Stegostoma tigrinum: one gene and its partners. The protein of the gene in region 1 interacts with the protein of each later gene in a pairwise test. Links are inferred from orthologs where the notes say so. Each region holds a gene or a part of one and is shown on either strand. Other genes may lie near its edges.

The links.
Region 2: the proteins of small glutamine-rich tetratricopeptide repeat-containing protein beta-like (region 1) and txndc12 interact in binary tests that used the Homo sapiens proteins (3 or more experiments, as listed by UniProt). The two-hybrid records come from large-scale screens. The link is inferred for Stegostoma tigrinum from reciprocal best matches to the Homo sapiens genes SGTB and TXNDC12.
Region 3: the proteins of small glutamine-rich tetratricopeptide repeat-containing protein beta-like (region 1) and retinoic acid-induced protein 2 interact in binary tests that used the Homo sapiens proteins (3 or more experiments, as listed by UniProt). The link is inferred for Stegostoma tigrinum from reciprocal best matches to the Homo sapiens genes SGTB and RAI2.

What each region holds. Positions count from the first base shown.
Region 1 is NC_081354.1:117,674,681-117,682,667, reverse strand, and holds the start of small glutamine-rich tetratricopeptide repeat-containing protein beta-like, read right to left. Parts: upstream 3,100-7,987; 5' UTR 2,784-3,099; intron 1-2,783. Other genes in the region: protein FAM149A-like, read left to right, coding at 3,190-3,722. UniProt on the Homo sapiens protein: Co-chaperone that binds directly to HSC70 and HSP70 and regulates their ATPase activity.
Region 2 is NC_081361.1:64,051,268-64,058,874, forward strand, and holds the start of txndc12 (thioredoxin domain-containing protein 12), read right to left. Parts: upstream 3,062-7,607; 5' UTR 3,006-3,061; coding exon 2,918-3,005; intron 249-2,917; coding exon 188-248; intron 1-187. UniProt on the Homo sapiens protein: Protein-disulfide reductase of the endoplasmic reticulum that promotes disulfide bond formation in client proteins through its thiol-disulfide oxidase activity.
Region 3 is NC_081365.1:68,042,879-68,050,484, forward strand, and holds the start of retinoic acid-induced protein 2, read left to right. Parts: upstream 1-4,534; 5' UTR 4,535-4,542; coding exon 4,543-4,611; intron 4,612-7,606.

The DNA of each region.
Region 1 (7,987 bases):
TACAGGTTGGCAATTTAAATATTTTAATGGAGCTGGGAACCTCTGATTGAACAGGTTTATTCATAGTTAGTCCAAGTTCAGAAAAAGGCTCACTGGACTCAAAACATAAACTTTGTTTTCTCTTCACAGATGCTACCGGACCTGCTGAATTTCTCCAGCAACTTCTACTATTAAAATATTATTGGGATTCTATACACATCATAGCATTGAGTATAATGATAGGCAAGTTATGCTGCAGCTTTATAGAACTTTAGTTAGGTCACACGTGGAATATTGCATACAGTTCTATTCACCGCACGACCAGAAGGATGTGGATGCTTTGGAGAGGGTACAGAAAAGGTTTACCAGGATGTTGCCTGATATGGGGGATTTTAGCTATGAAGAATGCTTGAATAGATTGGGTTTGTTTTGACTGGAACACAGGAGGTTGAGGGATGACCTAATAGAAATGTATAAGATTGTGAACGTCATGAATAACTCGGAAAGTATGAGACTTTTTCCCAGTATGGAAGGGTCCATTACTAGGGGACACAGGTTCAACCCACAAGGGGGGGTGTTTAAGAGATTTGTGCGAGGCAAATCTTTCACAGAAAGGGTGGTGAGTGCCTGGAACGTACTGCCAGACGAGGTGGAGGAAGCAGACACAATAGCAGCTTTCAAGAAACATCTGGATGAATGCATAAATAGTAAGGGAATAGAGGGACACAGATCCTATCAGTGAAGAGAGTTTTAACATGGAAGGACAAAATATGACGGCACAGACGCAGAGGGCCAAAGGGGCTGTTCCTGTGTTGTACTGCTCTTTGTTCTTTATACAATTTGTTTATATTAATGGGACTACTTCCTGATTCAGACAAATGCCTTGGCTGCCAAGTGAAAGACCTGAAGAAAAATGTTAGAGTTTTGGGGCTGATTGGTGTTTCTGTTCCCATATGTAATTCCTGCAAACACATCCTCTTCCACTGATTCTGAAAAGTCTGCTATCAATCTAACCTCTTGGTTCTCAACAGAAGTAATTCATCCTCTCATCAAAATTAAACATTTTTCATGTATTATTGTATGATAGAGCTTGACTCCAGCATGCTAAGCAAAAAGTGGCTTGATTCAATTACAAACAAGCTGCTAAATGAAGACTCCATAATTAAAGAAAGCAAATTATTCCGGCTACTATTCATCCATCTCATCTTCCATTATGCCTTTTCTTTGCAGGTGATAGTATTGCTGTCTGAAATGAAATACCCTGAAAGATGAGCAGTTCTTTAGTTCAGTTCCTTCAGCTAAAGGTCACACTGTAAACCTCCACTGCGTTCTATTTCAAGCCCATTTATCACAGTGAAGCTGGCACCAGATGTTAAGAGTGTAAAATTGTTAATTACCACATTCATTTTCTTATTACATGAAATGAGTGAGTGTTTGTTATGATCGATCATTTGAGAAATAGTGAGATTTTATTTCCCCATCGTTGAGTCACATTCTAAGAGGAAAGGGAATCATTTAATATTGGTTTTGAGGGCTGAAGGGATGGGGAAAGGAGGGTCTGGTAAACAACACTCTACAGTATGGTCTCAGTTTCACAGAATTCTACTGAATGTCCCTTCAGGGCTCACAGCTGTAAGCTGTGAGCCCCTTCCCACTGCCCGATTGTATCTCTTTAGTGATACTGGGAACTGCAGATGCTGGAGAATCCAAGATCACAAATCATATTAGAGATAATGGGAACTGCAGATGCTGGAGAATTCCAAGATAATAAAATGTGAGGCTGGATGAACACAGCAGGCCAAGCAGCATCTCAGGAGCACAAAAGCTGAAACCCCCTCCCATTCTCTAGATGACATGTCCATCATGGGCCTCCTGCACTGCCACAATGATGCCACCCGAAGGTTGCAGGAACAGCAACTCATATTCCGCCTGGGAACCCTGCAGCCATATGGTATCAATGTGGACTTCACCAGTTTCAAAATCTCCCCTTCCCCTACTGCATCCCTAAACCAGCCCAGTTCGTCCCCTCCCCCCACTGCACCACACAACCAGCCCAGCTCTTCCCCCCCATCCACTGCATCCCAAAACCAGTCCAACCTGTCTCTGCCTCCCTAACCGGTTCTTCCTCTCACCCATCCCTTCCTCCCACCCCAAGCCGCACCCCCATTTACCTACTAACCTCATCCCACCTCCTTGACCTGTCCGTCTTCCCTGGACTGACCTATCCCCTCCCTACCTCCCCACCTATACTCTCTCCACCTATCTTCTTTACTCTCCATCTTCGGTCCGCCTCCCCCTATTTATTCCAGTTCCCTCTCCCCAAACCCCCTCTCTGATGAAGGGTCTAGGCCCGAAACGTCAGCTTTTGTGCTCCTGAGATGCTGCTTGGCCTGCTGTGTTCATCCAGCTCTGCACTTTGTTATCTCTGTATCTCTTCAGTGGCTCCTTCCCTGAACTTAACCTACTGAGGAGCCCATAATCCAGCAAGCTGCACAACTTAATGTTCATGGGGTAATGCCTGGTGCCGCTCATCTTTGCTGAGGGGATGGGGAGGCTCTGCCATGACAGTGCAAACTCCAAGGCAGTATTTTTAAAAATAAAAGTCAGTGCAAAATCAGTGTAATGAGAAGTCAAACACTGGAACATGCATTCAGTGCCTTCCCCGTACGACATCAAACCTTTCACGGTTTCAGTGAAATCTGTTTCCTCACACGGTAAATAAGAACCACCCTTCAGCCATTGGTAATAGACCAACCAGGAGTAAGGGTTTTGTTTTGCGTAGCAACCTGGACTGCTGTTGTCACCTGACAAGTCTGCGAGCCAGCCAACTCTGTTTTTGATGGCAATCTTTTGTTCTTGTCTTCTAAGAGAATTATTACTTTACGAGCAGCCGAGCAAGCTGGAGAGTTGCAGCTATTTCTTCATCTGCAGTAGAACAGCAGACAAACCGTCAAGCTGACAAACAAGACTGGACTGACTCTTCAATCATATAGTGTAGTGTACTGGCAACGGCTACAGTTAGCGGAGAAATAGAAAGCCTCCCCGTCTCTGGGAGAATATCTTCAAGACTGATTTCTAAAGAAAACTTACTTTCCTCTTAATGGGAAAGTCAGATCGTATCAAATTTCTTAAGTGCCTGGCGATACAGTTGCCTGGGGTCCTGAGGCTGATCAAGCTGGCATGTTTTAAGTGCGTTTGACAACAAAAAAAATGAAGCTTGCAGTGCTGGACCTGGGAACCATATTTGCAAATATTTTCAAGACTTCCGCTTCTCCTGTAATCCCGCCAGCTGGTTCCTCAAATAGTGGACAGTCAGCAACACCTCATGGACCATCGGCGATATCGGTATCTTCATCTTTGTCCGGTGTCTCAGGGAAAGCCTCTGGACTTTCTGGAAGTGGCTCTGCTCCGGGCAGCCCTGTCACTGTTAAAAACAGCAGCGCCTCTTTTCCAGCGTCAGCTTCTGTGCCCAAGTCAGCTGGCCTGAGTGTAGGGACTGCAAGTCAGATAGCAGTCCGGGCAGCTCCGAGCTCCGGCCTGGCCAGTTTAAATGCAGTGAAAACCATGCCATCTCCGACCGGATCAAACAACAGTATCATTTCTGGCACGGGAAGGTCCCCGGTATACTCGGTTGAGGATAGCGTTACGTGGAAACTGTCCAACAAGCAACATCCCTTCACTTTGCCCAACATCGGCGAGGAGGGAGTCACCGATACAGATTCAGCAGAAAGTAGCAGTGAAAAGTAAGAAGATTGCATTCTGTTGGGGGAAGGGAGAAATGTGTTGTTCGATTTTCGTTTTTAAAATCCTGATTTATTTTGAAGAAGTCTGCTTAGCAGACGCTCCAAATTTAAGAGCCTGTTTCCACTTCTTCCCCACATCCAATGATTCCTTTAGGTCCAAGGGCTATAATTAACTCCTTCTTGAATGTTTCGGGTTTGACAGCTTTCTGTAATAGTGAATGGCGCAGGAATGTCTCCTCACCTCAGTCCTTACATGGTTTACCCCGGAACTTTCAACTGTAACCCATGGTTCTGGACTCCCCCGCCCCGATCCTTCCTTCGTCCACCCTGTCGAATCCTGATAGAATTTTATGGGTTTGTATGAGATCCCCAAAGTTTGATGCCTAGCATTTGGCACAGTACTCCAGCTGGGTCAGTTTTTTGTTATAAAGGTTTTTGTTGTAAAGGTTCACCATGACCTCCTTGATTTTATATTCACTCTCTTTTAAGAATCCGAAGATTCCATGTGCCTCAGTAACTATTTCCCTCACCTGCCCTGAAAACCTCAATGTTGTGTACATTTATAAACCCAGGCAGTTCTCTTTCTGCAACCCCTTTAGGATTTATTTCACAGATAAAAGAAGCCTGTCGGTGTGGTGCATTTTAATTTCAAGGACAATTTTGATAAGGATCCACAAAAGTGGGTAACAGGCAAAATTAAAGCATGTTGGATTGGGGGCAGCATTCTGGCATGGATTATGAATTGATTGACAAACCAGAAACACAGTTGAAATAAATCTTTCCAAGTGGTGATTGGTGGTGTCATGCAGGGGTCAGTGCTGGGCCTCAGCTATTCATGATTGTTATAAACTCAGTGTGAGGAAACCAGATACAAAATTTCTGATGAAGGGTCTAGACCCGAAACGTCAGCTTTTGTGCTCCTGAAATGCTGCTTGGCCTGTTGTGTTCATCCAGCCTCACATTTTATTATCACAAAATTTCCAAGTTTGGTCATGACCCGAGATGAGGTGGGATTGTGATGATGATGCAAGAAGGAGGCTTCTAGGCAGGTTGTGTGTGAAAACACATCGCAGAAGCAGTATATTGTGGATAACTGTGAAGTTTTATGCTTCAGTGTGATATACTGAAAAGAAGAATATTATTTAAATAGTGATATGTTTGGAAGTTTGGATATGCAAAGGAATCTGCATATCCTTGTTGACCAGTTAAGAAGGCAAGTGATATATTGGCGTTGGTTGCAAAATGATTTGAGGTCCGAAGCAGGGATGCCATACGAGGTATACAGGACCCTGGTGAGATGGTTGTGCGCAGTTTTGGTCTCCCTGCCAAAGACTGTGTATACTGGCCAGAGGGAATGCAGCAAAGGTTCACCCGGATGATACCAGGGTTGGCGGGACTGTCATATGAGGAGAAATTGTTTCAACTGGGCCAATATTCATGAAAGTTTAAAAGGATGAAAGGGAATTTTGATTGGAAATTATAAAATTCTAACAGGCCTGGACAAATGCATGGAGCGCATCTTCCCTGGTTGGGTAATCTAGAAGTAAGGGTCATAGTCTCAGGATAGGATGGCTAATCTACATAAACTGCACATCTTTGGACTGTGGGTGGAAATAGCAGCACCCAGAGGAAACTCACACAGACATGGGGAGAATGTGCAAACTCCACACAGCCCACAGCTGGGATGAAACCCAGATGCCTGGTGGTATGAAGCAGCAATGCAAACCACTGTGCCACATTGCCACCTCAAAGCCTTTTTCTTAATCTTTGCTGATTGTGTGGCCTAGCTATTTCTTACTCTTTATCACTAATGCCCTGCATTTCTTTCCATGCCCTCTTGTTTTGTCTTTCCATCCCTTATCCTGTTCCTCTACATCAATGAATCTTCAGGACTTTCCCCTTGTACCTTTTACTAAAAGCACTCAAAACTGAAAAATCAGACCTCCAATAGCTGAAACTGATTCAACTTCTGAGTTTTTTGTGATCTGTAAATTTTGGGATTGTGGGCTGTACACCCCAATCTAGATTTAGGGGAGGCAGTGGCCTAGTGGTATTATTGCTGGACTGTTGATCCATAGACCCAGATAATGTTCTGGGGACCTGGGTTCAAATCACAGCACGACAGATGGTGGAAATTGAATCTACTAAAAATCTGGAAATAAGCATCTAATGATGATCTCAAATCCATTGTCGATTGTTGGGGAAAAACCCATCTAGTTCACTAATGTACTTTAGGGAAGGAAACTACTGTCCTTACCTTGTCTGTCTGTGTGTGACTGCCAACCCACAATGTGGTTGACTCTCAACTGCCGTCTGGGGAAATTAGGGATTGTCAATAAATGCTGGCCTAGCCAGTTTCACCCTCATTCTGTGAATGAATTTTAACAAAATTATTGATACACTTTAAGAAACGAAATGGCCCTAATGCCTATCCCTGGAGAGCCGCACTGTATTCCTTTCATGATATGAAACATTATACACTACTATGCCCCGTTCCTATAGTTCAAATTTTCCTGGTGTTAAGTTGGAGTAAGGTTTTGCTCATATGATATTGGATGTTAAGCAGGCAGTTTGATCATTTAAATGCAGCGGAGAGGTTGAAGAAGGTGTTTGAAATGGAGAGTTTGGTGTTACTAGTGTATAGTGGAAACTGACCGTTTTTTCAGTTGTTCGTGCCAAGAGACAGTATGTGGATGAAAGCTACAGTGAAAGTCCCTTGTTGGGTCACAATGAATTGGGACATGTCATAAGTGATCCAAGTCAGAAATCACATGATGCCAGGTTACAGTAAAACAGATTTATTTGAAATCACAAGCTTTTGGAATGTAGCCCCTTTGTCAAGTGAAGTGAGAGAGAAGCACACAGATCCAGAATTTATGGGCAGAGAAATTAAAACGTCAAACAAATGGTGTGAGTGGAGTATCAAATAATAAGTCCCTGAAGGTGATCCAAAGTGTTAGCGTGAGTAAAGTGTCAACAGCGGAATAACAAGCAAAGGGATTTCATGTTGTTCCAGTCATTTGGTTTCTCTCCAGCATCACCTTATTTTTAATTTTTTGTAATTATCTCTCTGTCTCATTTAATTGGATTACAGGTTATCCTTTGCTTGTTGTTCATTTTTACTTACATGGTCTAACACTTTGGATCACCTGCAGGGATTTGTTATTCGACACTCTGCTCTCACAATTCGCATGATCTTTCGATCGCTCTGCCCTTGATCTCTCTGCCTATAAATTCTGTACTCTGTGTGCTCCCTTCTCACTTCACCTGATGAAGGGGTGTCACTTTGCAAACTTGTGATTTCACATAAAGTTAGTGATTTCAAATATGCCGGTTAGACTTTAGTCTGGTGTCATGTGACTTCTGACTTTGTCCACCCAAATCCAACACTGGCACCTTCACATCATAAATAAACCATGGACAGATGTTGCCATGCAGGGGCAAAAAAAAAATTAGTGGTGTGAACTGGGGTAAGGGTTAAGAAACTCAAAGCATCTTCTGACCCTTCTCATAGCAAAGGTGAAGTAGAGATGGAATTTGGAGAACTTTTTCTGTCCGATCTGATATTTGTGGCACGTTGTGCAGTCAGCAAATTTATGGATTAATCACCCATATGAAATTGAGATTCCTCTGGGAGGTGAGGGTGTTAGAGAGGGAATTGAATCTATTGCAGGTCGTTCTCCAGCTATGACTAGATTGAGAAGAATGGACTCCCCAGTGAGAGCAGCCCCCCTCGACTGGAAAACAGGGGAAAAGTGTTTGAAGGGACAGTGTTTGAGAAAATGTAGAAAATAGGACCTGTGGTATAGGGTAGGATGTGGAGGGATAGTTTATCTTTGCTACAGTCAAATAACACGTCACTTCTGAGTTTGATGAGCGTTACTTCACTGTTGTGGCAGGGGCACAAAATTGATTGGAAAGATTCAAGTAGGAAGTTCTGGGAAAACAGGGCACAGGTATGGGAGGTGACAACACGTTTAAGAACTTTGTTGGACATTTTGCAATTCAGATCAATACATTTGCTCCCATTTTAATGGGATAGGTGGACAAAAGGTATGCGATGAAATGAGGCTGTGCAAATAACAGGCAAAAGGATGTTCCATGTCAACTAGTATTTAAATTAAAAGCAAAAAAAGCACTGGAAATATTCATCAGCTCAAGTATATCTGTGGAGAGTAACCGAATTAGCATTTCAGGTCTATGGCGCAGCATTTTTATCAAAGTGAAAATATTATGCAAGGTGGCATGTAGACTAATTGCTTCCA
Region 2 (7,607 bases), on another chromosome or scaffold:
AGTTATACCTGATTATGTTTCATTTAAGAATTACATTTTAATAAAATCACATTAAGACATACTGACAAATTTGGCTCTTTGATATTCCAGGAGGAAGCCAGTCAATTGCCAACTAAATATACAAAGTTTAAAATCACAAATTCCAAGTCAGAAGTTGAACAGGAAGTTTCTACTTAGCTTTGCATACCTGGCTTCTGCTTCTTTTTTTCCATCATCCAGTGTTCTCCAGTGAATGTGGTCTCCAAATCCTGAAAAAAGGTTGCCATTCCTATGAATTTCCATCTCTGACAAATTGTTAGAGACAAACGTCGACACCTAAAACCTCATACAATGTTATTTTAATATCTCAATTCAATGGAATTGGATCATTTAAATTTGTTTGGTATTCATTATACACACTACCGTGCGCGTAACGATTGTTTTCTTCATTGGCAATTCTTTAGAGTGTGGGACACTAGAAGACAAAAATGGAAATTAAGTAAACTATTTGCTGCTGGACCTGTTACCTATCAAGGTCTTCACCATTTCCGGTCAACGACTGGGTCCAAATGACAAAAATAGAGGAGTTATAGAACAGAGATAATAAAGTGTGGAGCTGGAAGAACACAGCAGCCCAAGCAGCATCTCAGGAGCACAAAACCTGACGTTTCGGGCCTTGTCCCTTCAACAGAGAGGGGGATGGGGAGAGGGAACTGGAATAAATAGGGAGAGGGGGGGAGGCGGACCGAAGATGGAGAAAAGAAGATAGGTGGACAGGAGAGTATAGGTGGGGAGGTAGGGAGGGGATAGGTCAGTCCAGGGAAGACGGACAGGTCAAGGAGGCGGGATGACGTTAGTAGGTAGGAGATGGAGGTGCGGCTTGAGGTGGGAGGAAGGGATGGGTGAGAGGAAGAACAGGTTAGGGAGTCAGAGACAGGCTGGGCTGGTTTTGGGATGCAGTGGGTGGAGGGGATGAGCTGGGCTGGTTGTGTGATGCAGTGGGGGGAGGGGACAAACTGGGCTGGCTTTGGGATGCAGTGGGGGAAGGGGAGATTTTGCAGCTGGTAAAGTCCACATTGATACCATTGGGCTGCAGGGTTCCCAAGTGGAATATGAGTTGCTGTTCCTGCAACCTTCGGGTGGCATCATTGTGGCACTGCAGGAGGCCCATGATGGACATGTCAGCTAAAGAATGGGAGGGGGAGTTAAAAGGGGGAGGGATCGCAACTGGGACGTGCAGTTGTTTATTATGAACCGAGCGGAGGTGTTCTGCAAAGCGGTCCCCAAGCCTCTGTTTGGTTTCCCCAATGTAGAGGCAGCCACACCGGGTACAATGGATACAGTATACCACATTGGCAGATGTGTAGGTGAACCTCTGCTTAATGTGGAAAGTCATCTTAGGGCCTGGGATGGGGGTGAGGGAGGAGTTGTGGGGGCAAGAATACACCTCCTCCCACCCACCCTGCTGCAAAAATTCCATCCCCTATTCCCAATTCCTCCGCCTCTGCCACATCTGCTCCCAGAATGAGGCATTCAAGGACCACAACTTTCCCCCACACAGTGGTTGAGAATGCCCTTGAGCGCGTCTCCCGCATTTCCCGCAACACATCCCTCACACCCCGCCCCCGCCACAACCACCCAAAGAGGATCCCCCTCGTTCTCGCACACCATCCCACCAACCTCCGGATACAACGCATCGTCCTCCAACACTTCCGCCATCTACAATCCGACCCCACCACCCAAGACATTTTTCCATCCCCATCCTTGTCTGCCTTTCGGAGAGACCACTCTCTCCGTCACTCCCTTGTTCGCTCCACACTGCCCTCCAACCCCAACACACCTGGCACCTTCCCCTGCAACCGCAGGAAGTGCTACACTTGCCCACACACCTCCTCCCTCACCCCCATCCCAGGCCCCAACATGACTTTCCACATTAAGCAGAGGTTCACCTGCACATCTGCCAATGTGGTACACTGTATCCACTGTACCCGGTGTGGCTTCCTCTACATTGGGGAAACCAAGCAGAGGCTTGGGGACTGCTTTGCAGAATACCTCCGCTGGGTTCGCAATAAACAACTGCACCTCCCAGTCGCAAACCATTTTAACTCCCCCTCCTATTCTTTAGATGACATGTCCATCATGGGCCTCCTGCAGTGCCGCAATGCTGCCACCCGAAGGTTGCAGGAACAGCAACTCACATTCTGCTTGGGAACCCTGCAGCCCAACGGTATCAATGTGGACTTCACCAGCTTCAAAATCTCCCCTTCCCCCACCGCATCCCGAAGCCAGCCCAGTTTGTCCCCTACCCCCACTGCATCACACAACCAGACCAGCTCATGCCCTGCCTCCACTACATCCCAAAACCAGTCCAACCTGTCTCTGCCTCCCTAACCTGTTCTTCCTCTCACCCATCCCTTCCTCCCACCTCAAGCCGCGCCTCCCTAACCTGTTCTTCCTCTCACCCATCCCTTCCTCCCACCTCAAGCCGCACGTCCATTTCTTACCTACTAACCTCATCCCACCTCCTTAACCTGTCCGTCTTCCCCTGGACTGACCTATCCCCCTCCCTACCTCCCCCCACCTATACTCTCCTCTCCATCTTCGGTCCGCCTCCCACTCTCTCCCTATTTATTCCAGTTCCCTCTCCCCATCCCCCTCTCTGATGAAGGGTCTAGGCCCGAAACGTCAGCTTTTGTGCTCCTGAGATGCTGCTTGGCCTGCTGTGTTCATCCAGCCTCACATTTTATTATCTTGGATTCTCCAGCATCTGCAGTTCCCATTATTTCTGAGTTCTAGATCAGAATGACTAATCAAATGCGAGAAAGATTGACAGAGGTAACGGATTAGCCATAGACACACGATTTTTTGCGTTTCCACGGTTTTCAATTAAACCACATCAAAGCCATCGTTTAAATAAAACAAATATAAACTAACCCACCTCTTCCAAGACTTTCGCTCCCATATGTTTGAAAGCAGATCAGAAGAATGTTAAGGAGGACGAGATACAGGTACCTTTGCAGCTTCATTATCGGCTCTGACCCTCTCGCCAGTAACTCAAGGAAAGTAGAAGCTCAGAGGAAGTGACGCATTAGCAGTTCTTACTATTTCTGACGCATCAGAACGCCGTGTAACCCATTCTGTTCGGAATCGTGCCGCGGAGTCTTTTGCGGATATGCAAGCCTTCAGTTCAACGCATCGTCCAAATGGTAACATCTCAAGATATACATGTACTGTACAAGAATTAGTTAATAAATTCTATCGGAAGGTGCTTCGCTCGTGAGATATTTACTTGATATGCACAAATCTCCGCATGGTAATATTTAGCAACATATTAAAATAAGCAACTTGTTTTTACACGGTCACTTTAACGTAAAATATCCAAAGTACAGCCACCAATGGTGGAACAATTAAGATCAAGATGATCCAGAGACCTGGTCGCGCTGTATGGGATTCAGCAAGTCAGAAGATTGTGCGTGCAAGGCCCACTCCAGGTCTAAACAAAAGCGTGAGACTGGATGGGCTACCCAGCAACTACTTAGGCATGGACATGACAACATAAAAACCAGCGTTGTCAATCCTGCAAAATCCTCTTTACTGAGGTCCAGGGGTATGTGCCAAAACTGGGAATGCTGTCCCACAGCAGTGAAGCAGCATCTTCACCTGAAGTACTCTCAGAATCATACCTTATAGACAATATTCCAGATGCCACTGTCAACGTGCCTGGATATATCCTGTCCTACTGACAGAACAGACTCACCAGAAGTGAAAACAATGGAAAGAGTTGCCCTCTGGCAGTCCTCAAGATTGACTCTGTACCCCATGAAGTCTCTTGACATCAGACCAAACATGAGCAAGGAAACAGCCTTCTGATTACCACCAACTAACCCCACACCTTCTTCAGCACTCCTCTGCTAATGAATGAGTACTCCTTTATGCTGAAAACTAATTGCCACTTGAAAGGAAGCATTGAGAGTGACAATGGCACAGAATATATTCTCAGTCAATTGCTAAAGGTGATTTGGTGGCAGCACCATTACTCAAGCTGGCTGAGTCCTGAAGAATATTACAGACAGACTGGGTCTGCGGTACGTGGTGGAGGAACTAACAGGAGGAAATAAACTACCTAACCTCATCTTCACCAATATAGATTTTTCCCCATCCTATCTGACATTAAAAACTGTAATGTGAAACCTGATCTTCACCAACTTGCCTGTTGCAGGTGTCCATAATGACAATAATGGTGGGAGTGACCACAGTCATGCTAGAAACAAAAGTGGCTACGTTCACATTATGGATATATTACACTGTATTGTGTAAAACTCATATTATGCTCAATAGGACAGATTTCTAGTGACTCAGAACTAAACACATTAGAACTATGCTGTGGGCCATCAACAGCCACAATTTGTAATCTCATAACTAGGAAAATCCCTCACTCACTGTTACCATTAAACCAGGAGATTAATTCTGCTACAAAGAAGAGGGCAGGCAGACTCACCAGGACCAGCACCTGGCTAATTTAAAAACGAAGTCTCAAAGTGTGAAGCTATAACACAAAACACCCCACCCACACCTTCTCCACCTATCTTCTTTACTCTCCATCTTTGGTCCGCCTCCCCCTCTCTCCCTATTTATTCCAGTTCCCTCCCCCCATCCCCCTCTCTGATGAAGGGTCTAGGCCCGAAACGTCAGCTTTTGTGCTCCTGAGATGCTGCTTGGCCTGCTGTGTTCATCCAGCCTCACATTTTATTATCTTGGAATCTCCAGCATCTGCAGTTCCCATTATCTCTGATACTATTTTAACCTCACTGCGAAGCCTCTTCCAGGGATGCCTAACCTGAAGAAGTTACCCTCCTCCCTCCGGACCAACCTCAGGGAATCTCTCTCCCATTGACCTGTCCGTCTTCCCTGGACTGACCTATCCCCTCCCTACCTCCCCACCCACACCTTCTCCACCTATCTTCTTTACTCTCCATCTTCGGTCCGCCTCCCCCTCTCTCCCTATTTATTCCAGTTCCCTCCCCCCATCCCCCTCTCTGATGAAGGGTCTAGGCCCGAAACGTCAGCTTTTGTGCTCCTGAGATGCTGCTTGGCCTGCTGTGTTCATCCAGCCTCACATTTTATTATCATTAAACTACAAATAGCAGTAGTAGCAAGAATTTACAGTTAAGAGGGCCACAAATTAGATCAGATCTGACACCAGAATCCGAGGACAGGCCAAACAGTCAAGCATGGGAATTCCTCGAGGCCTGGTTCTCTACCAAGAAGATCATCAACAAACACATAGAACTCGACCCTATATTCACGGACCACTGCAAAGGAAAACCAGAAATGAGGTATTCAAATCCAACGGACGCCAGAGTTTAAATACCAGGTGGGAAAACACAACAGCACTTCATTGGAGGCTGCACTGATGATGTTACCCAGCAGGGTAATGAAATGTGTGCGAACTAACGAAACAGCTCAGTCGGCAAACCAACCACAGCATCCACAACCCAAGCAACAAATCTACTCAAGAACCTTAGAGTACTGTATGAAATTAAAAAGGCAGAATTAAAGGCATTGTGTCTGAATACATGCAGATTCACATCAAAGTTGACAATTTGAAAGCACAAATAGAAGTAAATGAGAATGATTTAATTGCCATTAAGGTATTGTGACTGTCGGGTTATAAAATATGGGAAAGGAATCAGATCACCCTGAAGCTCATTGAATGGCAGATCAAGCTCAAGGGGGCAGGTGGCCTACTCCTATTTCATACGTTGGACGAACACAGCAGGCCAAGCAGCATCTCAGGAGCACAAAAGCTGACGTTTCGGGCCTAGACCCTTCATCAGAGAGGGGGATGGGGGGAGGGAACTGGAATAAATAGGGAGAGAGGGGGAGGCGGACCGAAGATGGAGAGTAAAGAAGATAGGTGGAGAGGGTGTAGGTGGGGAGGTAGGGAGGGGATAGGTCAGTCCAGGGAAGACGGACAGGTCAAGGAGGTGGGATGAGATTAGTAGCTGGGGGTGCGGCTTGGGGTGGGAGGAAGGGATGGGTGAGAGGAAGAACGGGTTAGGGAGGCAGAGACAGGTTGGACTGGTTTTGGGATGCAGTGGGTGGGGGGGAAGAGCTGGGCTGGTTGTGTGGTGCAGTGGGGGGAGGGGATGAACTGGGCTGGTTTAGGGATGCAGTAGGGGAAGGGGAGATTTTGAAACTGGTGAAGTCCACATTGATACCATATGGCTGCAGGGTTCCCAGGCGGAATATGAGTTGCTGTTCCTGCAACCTTCGGGTGGCATCATTGTGGCAGTGCAGGAGGCCCATGATGGACATGTCATCAAGAGAATGGGAGGGGGAGTGGAAATGGTTTGCGACTGGGAGGTGCAGTTGTTTGTTGCGAACTGAGCGGAGGTGTTCTGCAAAGCGGTCCCCAAGCCTCCGCTTGGTTTCCCCAATGTAGAGGAAGCCGCACCGGGTACAGTGGATGCAGTATACCACATTGGCAGATGTGCAGGTGAACCTCTGCTTAATGTGGAATGTCATCTTGAGGCCTGGGATGGGGGTGAGGGAGGAGGTGTGGGGACAAGTGTAGCATTTCCTGCGGTTGCAGGGGAAGGTGCCGGGTGTGGTGGGGTTGGAGGGCAGTGTGGAGCGAACAAGGGAGTCACGGAGAGAGTGGTCTCTCCGGAAAGCAGACAGGGGAGGGGATGGAAAAATGTCTTGGGTGGTGGGGTCGGATTGTAAATGGCGGAAGTGTCGGAGGATAATGCGTTGTATCCGGAGGTTGGTAGGGTGGTGTGTGAGAACGAGGGGGATCCTCTTGGGGCGGTTGTGGCGGGGGCGGGGTGTGAGGGATGTGTCGCGGGAAATGGGGGAGACGCGGTCAAGGGCGTTCTCGATCACCGTGGGGGGAAAGTTGCGGTCCTTAAAGAACTTGGACATCTGGGATGTGCGGGAGTGGAATGTCTTATTGTGGGAGCAGATGCGGCGGAGGCGGAGGAATTGGGAATAGGGGATGTAATTTTTGCAGGAGGGTGGGTGGGAGGAGGTAGCTGTGGGAGTCGGTGGGCTTGAAATGGACATCAGTTACAAGCTGGTTGCCTGAGATGTAGACTGAGAGGTCCAGGAAGGTGAGGGATGTGCTGGAGATGGCCCAGGTGAACTGAAGGTTGGGGTGGGAGGTGTTGGTGAAGTGGATGAACTGTTACAACGCATTATCCTCCGACACTTCCGCCATTTACAATCCGACCCCACCACCCAAGACATTTTTCCATCCCCTCCCCTGTCTGCTTTCCGGAGAGACCACTCTCTCCGTGACTCCCTTGTTCGCTCCACACTGCCCTCCAACCCCACCACACCCGGCACCTTCCCCTGCAACCGCAGGAAATGCTACACTTGTCCCCACACCTCCTCCCTCACCCCCATCCCAGGCCCCAAGATGACATTCCACATTAAGCAGAGGTTCACCTGCACATCTGCCAATGTGGTATACTGCATCCACTGTACCCGGTGCAGCTTCCTCTACATTGGGGAAACCAAGCGGAGGCTTGGGGACCGCTTTGCAGAACACCTCCGCTCAGTTCGCAACAAACAACTGCACCTCCCAGTCGCAAACCATTTCCACTCCCCCTCCCATTCTCTTG
Region 3 (7,606 bases), on another chromosome or scaffold:
GGTGGTTGGTTCTCTTCCCTGAGACGCATTTGTGAACAGTTGAAGTTTTACAGCAATCTGGAAGCTTTTACAGTCATTTTTGTTTTGAAGCCAAATTACCAGATGTATTGAATTCAATTTTGCAACATGCTTCTCAACCTGAACTAGTTGTTAGCCCAGTACTATAGTTCCTGCATTTACTTACTCATAGCCGTAGCTGGCTTATTTGACACTAATATTGATAGCACTTTTAAACTATGTAGCAGACTTCATTTGTGAATTCCATTGGAGTATGTTATTTTATGATGTGGTTACTGCTGTGCCCAGATGATAAAAGTGGTGGACAGCCTCATTATACTGTACAGGATATAATTGGCCTCCTGTTTCTCACCAGCAGTCAGAATGTGCCACTGAGGTAAGATAATACCTTTATTTTGAAAAGTTGTTCCTTCTTGAAAACTCAGCATGTGGGCCACCCTGCCTGTTTAACCCACAAAGTGGCATACTGTGAGGGGAAACTGGAAGAAATAAGAAAAGCCAGAAGAAATTGGACGGGGATTGATTAACAAATTGTGAAGTTCAGCCATCCATCTTCTCCATTCTGCAAACCTTTTACATTCAGGGTTTTGTTGTTCACAATCTGTTAATTATTGACACATGATAAGACCTATGGCGTAATTTACATCTAGTCAAATTTAGAAGGTGATATTTGCTCATGCAGCTAATTATGTTTTGTAATGTTGAGATGGAATTGGACTCACTGGATCAAGAGTCTTGCATACACAACAGAATTATGTACATGCCTTGCTTTAGATATAATTCTTCGTTCCTGTTAGCTATTGGTATACTGAAACACATCTAAATCAATTAATTACTTATTACTTAGCAGCAAGCTAAGGAGTAGAGTTTGAATATAGTACTTGAGCATTGCAGCTGTTCTAAAGATTTTACGAATAAATGTTTTTCCTTCAGAGAAGAAAAGAAATCAGGGTCCTTTTAATCACGACTTGCAGAAATTTTCTGTGAATGTTTTTTATAGAAAGATCAGGAAAAATTTTATGATCATAAGTGTGGTGGAAGCAGATCCATTAGTAACATTCAAAAGCAAATTAGGCAAATACTTGGACGTGGAATAATTTGCAGGACCGTGGAGAAAGAACAAAAGCTTGGGACCAGTTAGATTACTTCTTAAAAGAGACAGTGCAGAATGGTAGGCTTCTATATTGTATTAGTTTGTGATACAATGGTGTGGAACTCAATAACCCTCAAACATTGGTTACAATGAAGGGATTAACCAGTGCTAATTGCCACTGACACCAATTTTGTAGTGCCAAATAATTAACGTGATTGCATAGTTCAGCCAGCATGAGCTGCATTGCTGATGGGCTGCGCAGCTCAACAGGAGCCGTAAATTACTGAGGCTGACATGAGATAAAACTAGGAACAAAGAAAGAAGTTGCTGTTAAAGCTCAGCAAATCTGTCAGGGTCAGTGAAGAAATAAAATCAGTTGATGTTTTGCGTCTGGTGACCTTTCCTCTGAACAGAACACAAAACATTAACTCTGATTTTGTTTTTCTTCACTGATGTTGCCAGACCTGATGAGCTTTTTCAGCAACTTCTGTTTTTGATCCTGATTTACAGCATCCACCACTCTTTCGGGTTTTTATTTATGAAATAAAACTAGCCTGCACTACATACAGCCAGGCTGTAACTCCATTTTGACCAGTTCATTTGACGGAGTCCATCCAAGTTTTGTGTCTGCTCTGGGATACCTATAACAATGGTATATTAACAAGAATGTGTGTCAGCCCAAAGATTTCACAACCTTGACGGAAGAAACGCTCAGAAGTAGTATGACCAGATAACCATTGATAGCCAATGACAGGAATTATCCCAAGGACACTAATGTAAAGCCATGATTGCAATGTTTTATTCTGAGCGGTCAACCTCAGTGAATGCAACTTCTTACAGCACATAATCTACTAATTACACCTTGAGCTGAATTTGACTGCAATTTGCCTGTGTCAGTTTTGTCGCATTTCCATGGATGGTTTTGCTCCATGAGGCCTGACAAGATTTCTCACACTATCTCTTCATGCTGAACTCATTACGATAAAGCACCACATCCCCAAGGCACCCTATCCACTGCAGGTTGATGTAATTTCTCGGATTTCCTAGTGCCATATTTAATATCTAGGGAAGGGAACCTGTCATTGGTATCTGGGCCAAACCAGATACCAATGGGAGTGACTCTTTAATGCCCCCTGGGCGATTAGGAGATGGGCAATAAATGCATGTCTAGTGATTCCCACACCCTGTGAACAAATGAAATAAAATCAGTGCATGACTATCATGAATGCAGCAGAAGAATTTCACTATTTAACAACAATTTAGCCTTTTAGCTCACCAAAAATGGAAGAACTCACTAGTGCATGGATAGCTATTGGGATTAGTGTAGAATAAAGGTGCTTTATTTTAGGGAATAAAATTAACCTTCTTGATGATGAAAAAATCAAGATGTTGATCTTAGCTTTCCGATCTCAAGCAGTGCATCATAACGAGCTGGATGAATGCATGATTTAGCAAACATTGTTGGCAATATTATTTGAAATTGCGGTTGGCAACCCAGTACTTTGGACAATGGAACTAAAATGAGACTCTCTTGAACTTGGAATTGTCATAAAATTAGGAGGCATTGAGGAAGAGGTAAGGTTCCACTGCTATCTGATGCAAAATGCAACATTATAAACTGGCTATCTCCATAACGCAATAGTGCACAGTTCAAGAGTACTCAACAAAGGATACTGTTTCTGAGTAAATATTGGACATAACTCAAATATATGCTTGGGAAACCTATTGACCACCCTTATGCTGAATGTGAGATTCTACAGTTTTTATGAACAGTCTTCCCTAGAGGAATCTTTCTGATAACATTATAAATTAATCCAGCCTTATTTCACATTAGCAGGTGTAAAATATCTTCATTCCTGGTTGTTTTGACAATATATCATTTTATTGTGATGAATACATTCTATGAAATCATCTTCATAGTTATTTGTCAATTGTCAACTTGATTTGTCCAATTTAAATAAAGGTTAAAATTACCTGGGGAAAATTGGAGAACATTTCTTTTATATAGGCCTTCATTATTTCTTGATTTATACTCTGTACTGTGTCGCTACTTTGAGGGCCGATAATTTACACCCCAGTGATACCTTCCCCTTGCTATTTTTTACTTTCATCTATACTGTTCTAAGCCAAGATTGTTTCTCACTACAATCATGATCTCCTCTTTCATTTAATACAGCTACTCGACCTCCTTTTTCCTCTTCCTCCCCTACCTCTGTTGATTGTGAAATGCCCTTGAGTGCCCTTCAGTTTCCAACTTTGGTCACCTTGCAACCATTCTGTTTTCATCCCCATTTATTTGTATTTTTGTTATCACTGCATTTTATCTTGTTACGAATGCTGCATTAAGGATGCTATGATTTGATAAACGCAGTGATTCATGATTAGTTTGTGGAATGTTGGTGATGACCTAAGAAAACTGCTGTTACCTAGCACCTTAGTTTTGATAATGTTAAAAAAATGAAATTGAATCAGATGTAGAAGTGCACGTAAATTTTTAGATTAATTCCAGCTTTATGTTTGAAATACATTAACTGAGGTGCCCTTTATGATTTGATATGTGCTATGATACATACTTCCAAGTAACAATTACACCTTTTTGATAGGTATGAGTTTAATCTGGAAGTTGAAGCAGGTAATTATACACAATATTAACAACATGTTCAGCATTCCACTTAAACATTGTACATTCAGGGAAGAGAACTGACAATAACAGACCTGTGAAAATGTGATCTTCCTGTATGTTCTACCTGCCTCCAATTATTGTCTCAATAGTGTTATTAAGAGAGTTTCCTTTCTCCAATTTGTGCTTCCTCTCATCCTGGCTTGGCCTCTGTTCGTCCAACTCTTGACTGGCTTTCATAAAATCTGCAATTCATAGAAGGGACTCATATTTTGAGTCACTGCAAAACAATGTAAAAATCCCAACAGAAAAAGATTTTAGTGTTAATGTTAAAAAATGCACCCAGACGTTTTGCTAAACTGCCTTTAAAGTATTAATGGAAATAATAGAATATCTTCAACAATGCGAGGATTCTGTGAAACAACATCCACTGCCTTTACTTAGCCAGGTGCATAGATTCTGCTTATCCTTGATTAAAAAAGGCAATTCAGCTTGGTTTCAGTCCATACCATATGGTTTGTTTTGTGTCTCTTGTTTCAAAGATCTCTTTAATAGAAAAGAATATAAAGAGGTATGATATCATGTGATTACTACTGCTTGTGGAGTACTCCTGCAGATGTGAACTAGAGCTCAGCGGAACTCAATCTGAAAATAACAGTGAGCTGTACTATTATGAACCTTCCAAAAACTAAGATAAATATTCACTATTTTACTTTTCTATTACTATGCATGGGGTTCAAGGACACCCTCTCAGAGCTGGAGAAAGGATCCATTCATTGTGGTCCACATGGATACCAATAACCTAGGTGTAATGAAGAAGGCAGCTCTGCTGAAGAAGTATGAACAATTAGAGGATAAATTGAAAAGCAGAGCCAAAGAGGTATTGTATTGTAATAATCTCTGGATTATTACTGGAAACATAAGCAAATAAGAATAGAATATATCAGATCAAAGAGTTGAATAGGTGAGGAAGAAATGTGTTTCAATTCATGGTACCAGGATTTATGGCATAGGAGTGGCAAAAGAGGGTGTTGCACTATTGGCCTAGCCTTCACCTGGACCCCAAGTGTCCCATTGACTCTTACAATATAACTGGAGGAGCTGAGAACACCCATTAGGGACTGCAGCGGAGAGGATGGGCATTTAAATTGCAAGGTACATTTAATAAAACTCCTGTAGCATTTTTCAGCTATTACTTTTTAAAAATTATTTATGATTTGTAAATGGAATATTTTTAAACATTCATGATATGACGTAATGAATCTCAGTGTAATTTAGATTTTTTCATTAATATTTAATGTTTTCTAATGACAGTGCAGACAAATAAGGGCTAAGGGGCCTGGGTAGGTTGGCATCTGGATATGAAGACAGGCACCTGTGTGGGTGATAAGGGGGTGGTGTGGTGCATTTATAGTCGTAGGTATGCGGGGTAGTCTGGTGGCAAGTTGGCAGATGACCTATGGTTCTTAAACTAATGTCTTGAAATGAAATGAAGACGGAGCTTGTTGTAATGCTACAGTGGTAGAGAAGCAATGGCAATATTTCAAGGGCATTTTCCACTATAAATATTCAATGTGAATAATGTCTCATCCATCCTTGGCTCTAAGAAGGTATAAAATCAAAAGTAAAGTTGCATGATATTGTAAAAATTAGTGGCGGCACTCATATTGGAAAAAGTTTAGAAACCCTCAAAGGATGACTAAAAAAGAGGAGGAAATTAGTGCATGAAAGAAATTGAGCAAGAAATATAGAAACTGACAGTAAAAGCTCCTGTCTGTATTAAAATAGGAAAACAGTAGCTAAAGTGAGTATTGGTCCCTTTGCGGTTAAGACTGGGAAATTAATAATGGGGGGGGGGGGGAGGAATGGCAGAGATTTTGAATAAATATTTTGTAATTTATCAACAGAGTACCAATCCCAAGTACCATCCCAAAATAATGGAAAATTAAGAAGTAAAAGCAAAAGATGGACTGCAAACATGACAAGTATATTGGTTGTAATTTTCCAAAATTCCCCAAGTTTCTTAAAAGGTCATAAATGTTACAGCATTCTGCAAAAAAGAAAGGAGTCAGATATCAGAACACCATCGTCCAGTTAGTTTAACGTCTGGCATTGGGAAATGTTGGCATGTATTAGCAAGTGATTTGGAAAATCTTGATTATAATCAGGTAGAATCAACATGGCTTTGTGAAAGGGAAATCATGTTTGATTAATCTATTAAAACACTTTCAATCACAGTGGAATGAGGGATACCATGAGAAATAAGATGTTTAAATTTTAAAAAGACATTAACTAAGATGTCACACGAGCGGTTATTGTACAAGTTAAGAAATCATTGCATTGTGGGTGACAGATCATCTTCGATTGAGGATTGGCTGACTGGAAACACAGAACCATGCTAAATGATTCTGTTTCCAGTTGGAAAACTGTAACTGCTTGAATGGTGAACTATTTATAAATTATACTAATAACTTGGATTAAGGGACTGACTGAATTGGAGTCAAATGTGCATCAGAGAAATTACTTTGGATATGTCATCTGATGTTATTCAAATATATATATATGAGCATCAGGAAATAAAGGTCTATATATTAATTCAGCTAACAAAGTGTGGAGCTGGATGAACACAGCAGGCCAAGCAGCATCTTAGAAGCACAAAAGCTGATGTTTCGGGCCTTGGCCCTTCATCTGCAGTTCCCATTATCTCTGATCACTATATTAATTCAGCTCTGTTTTAAAGTTCACTATCTAGTGGCTTCTCAAATCCTGCTCCACAATATTTTTGATGCTCATTGTTTAATTGCAGAGAGAAGGGCATTTACAGAATAAAAGTTGATTACAGAAGATATAAATAAAGTATGATAAATATTAGTAATAAAACCAAACAAAGTGCTACCTGATGCACTTTGTATGGTAAAATCTGCCTATGGAGCATGCAAAACAATACTTTACACTGTATCTTGGTACATGTGACAATAATAAATCAAATTGAAATCAAGTATTTACTTACCCCACTCCTCTCAAATTGTCCATCAAAAATCTATTGATCTTCAATTTTAAAATATTTAATTGAGCGAATAACCATTGCTTTTTACAGGAGAGAATTCCACATTTCTACAACAACTTAGGTAAAGATGTGTTTCCTGACTCCTGTCCTGAACAGCCCAGTGTTGTAAGTTATGTTCTCTTGTTCTAGACTCTCCCACCAGCAGTTTCTCTCTATCTATCCTTCCCTTCAAAGTTTTATAAACCTCAACCAAATAAACCCATAACCTGCTATATTATGGAGAATACAGGCTCATTTTATATAATAGCTCCTCATAATCTGTAATCTTAGAGACCTGGGAACATTTGCATTGCATTCCTTCTTAAGCCAAAATATCATTTGTAAAGCGGGGTGTCCCAGCTGTACATAGCTCTCCAAACACTATCTAATCAGGGCTTTGTATAGATGTATCATAGTGTCCTCCTCCTTATGTTCTTCCCCTCTTAAATATAACAGCTAACATTCCCTTACCTTTCTTTGGTTCTGCAGTTGATGACTACATTTTAATCTGAATATGTAGACTCCTAAATCTCTTTGCACCTCCACTATTTCTCGCTTTTAGCTATTTCAAAAACAGTTGGAACTATCCCTTTTTGCTCCTAAATAAACGATCTTCCACTTTGTGTATTGAAATCAGCCTGCCCCAGTTTCTCCTGGCATTTCAATCAATCATGCTTTTTTCTTAGGCTATGCTCCCATCTCCACCGCTACCTACTGTACCACAAGTCTTTGTGTCAACAACAAACTTAGATCTGTAGCTCTCTATTGTGTTAGGATCTAAGTCACAAACAAGTATGGTCAACAATTGAAGCCCGGCAGCACGGTGGCT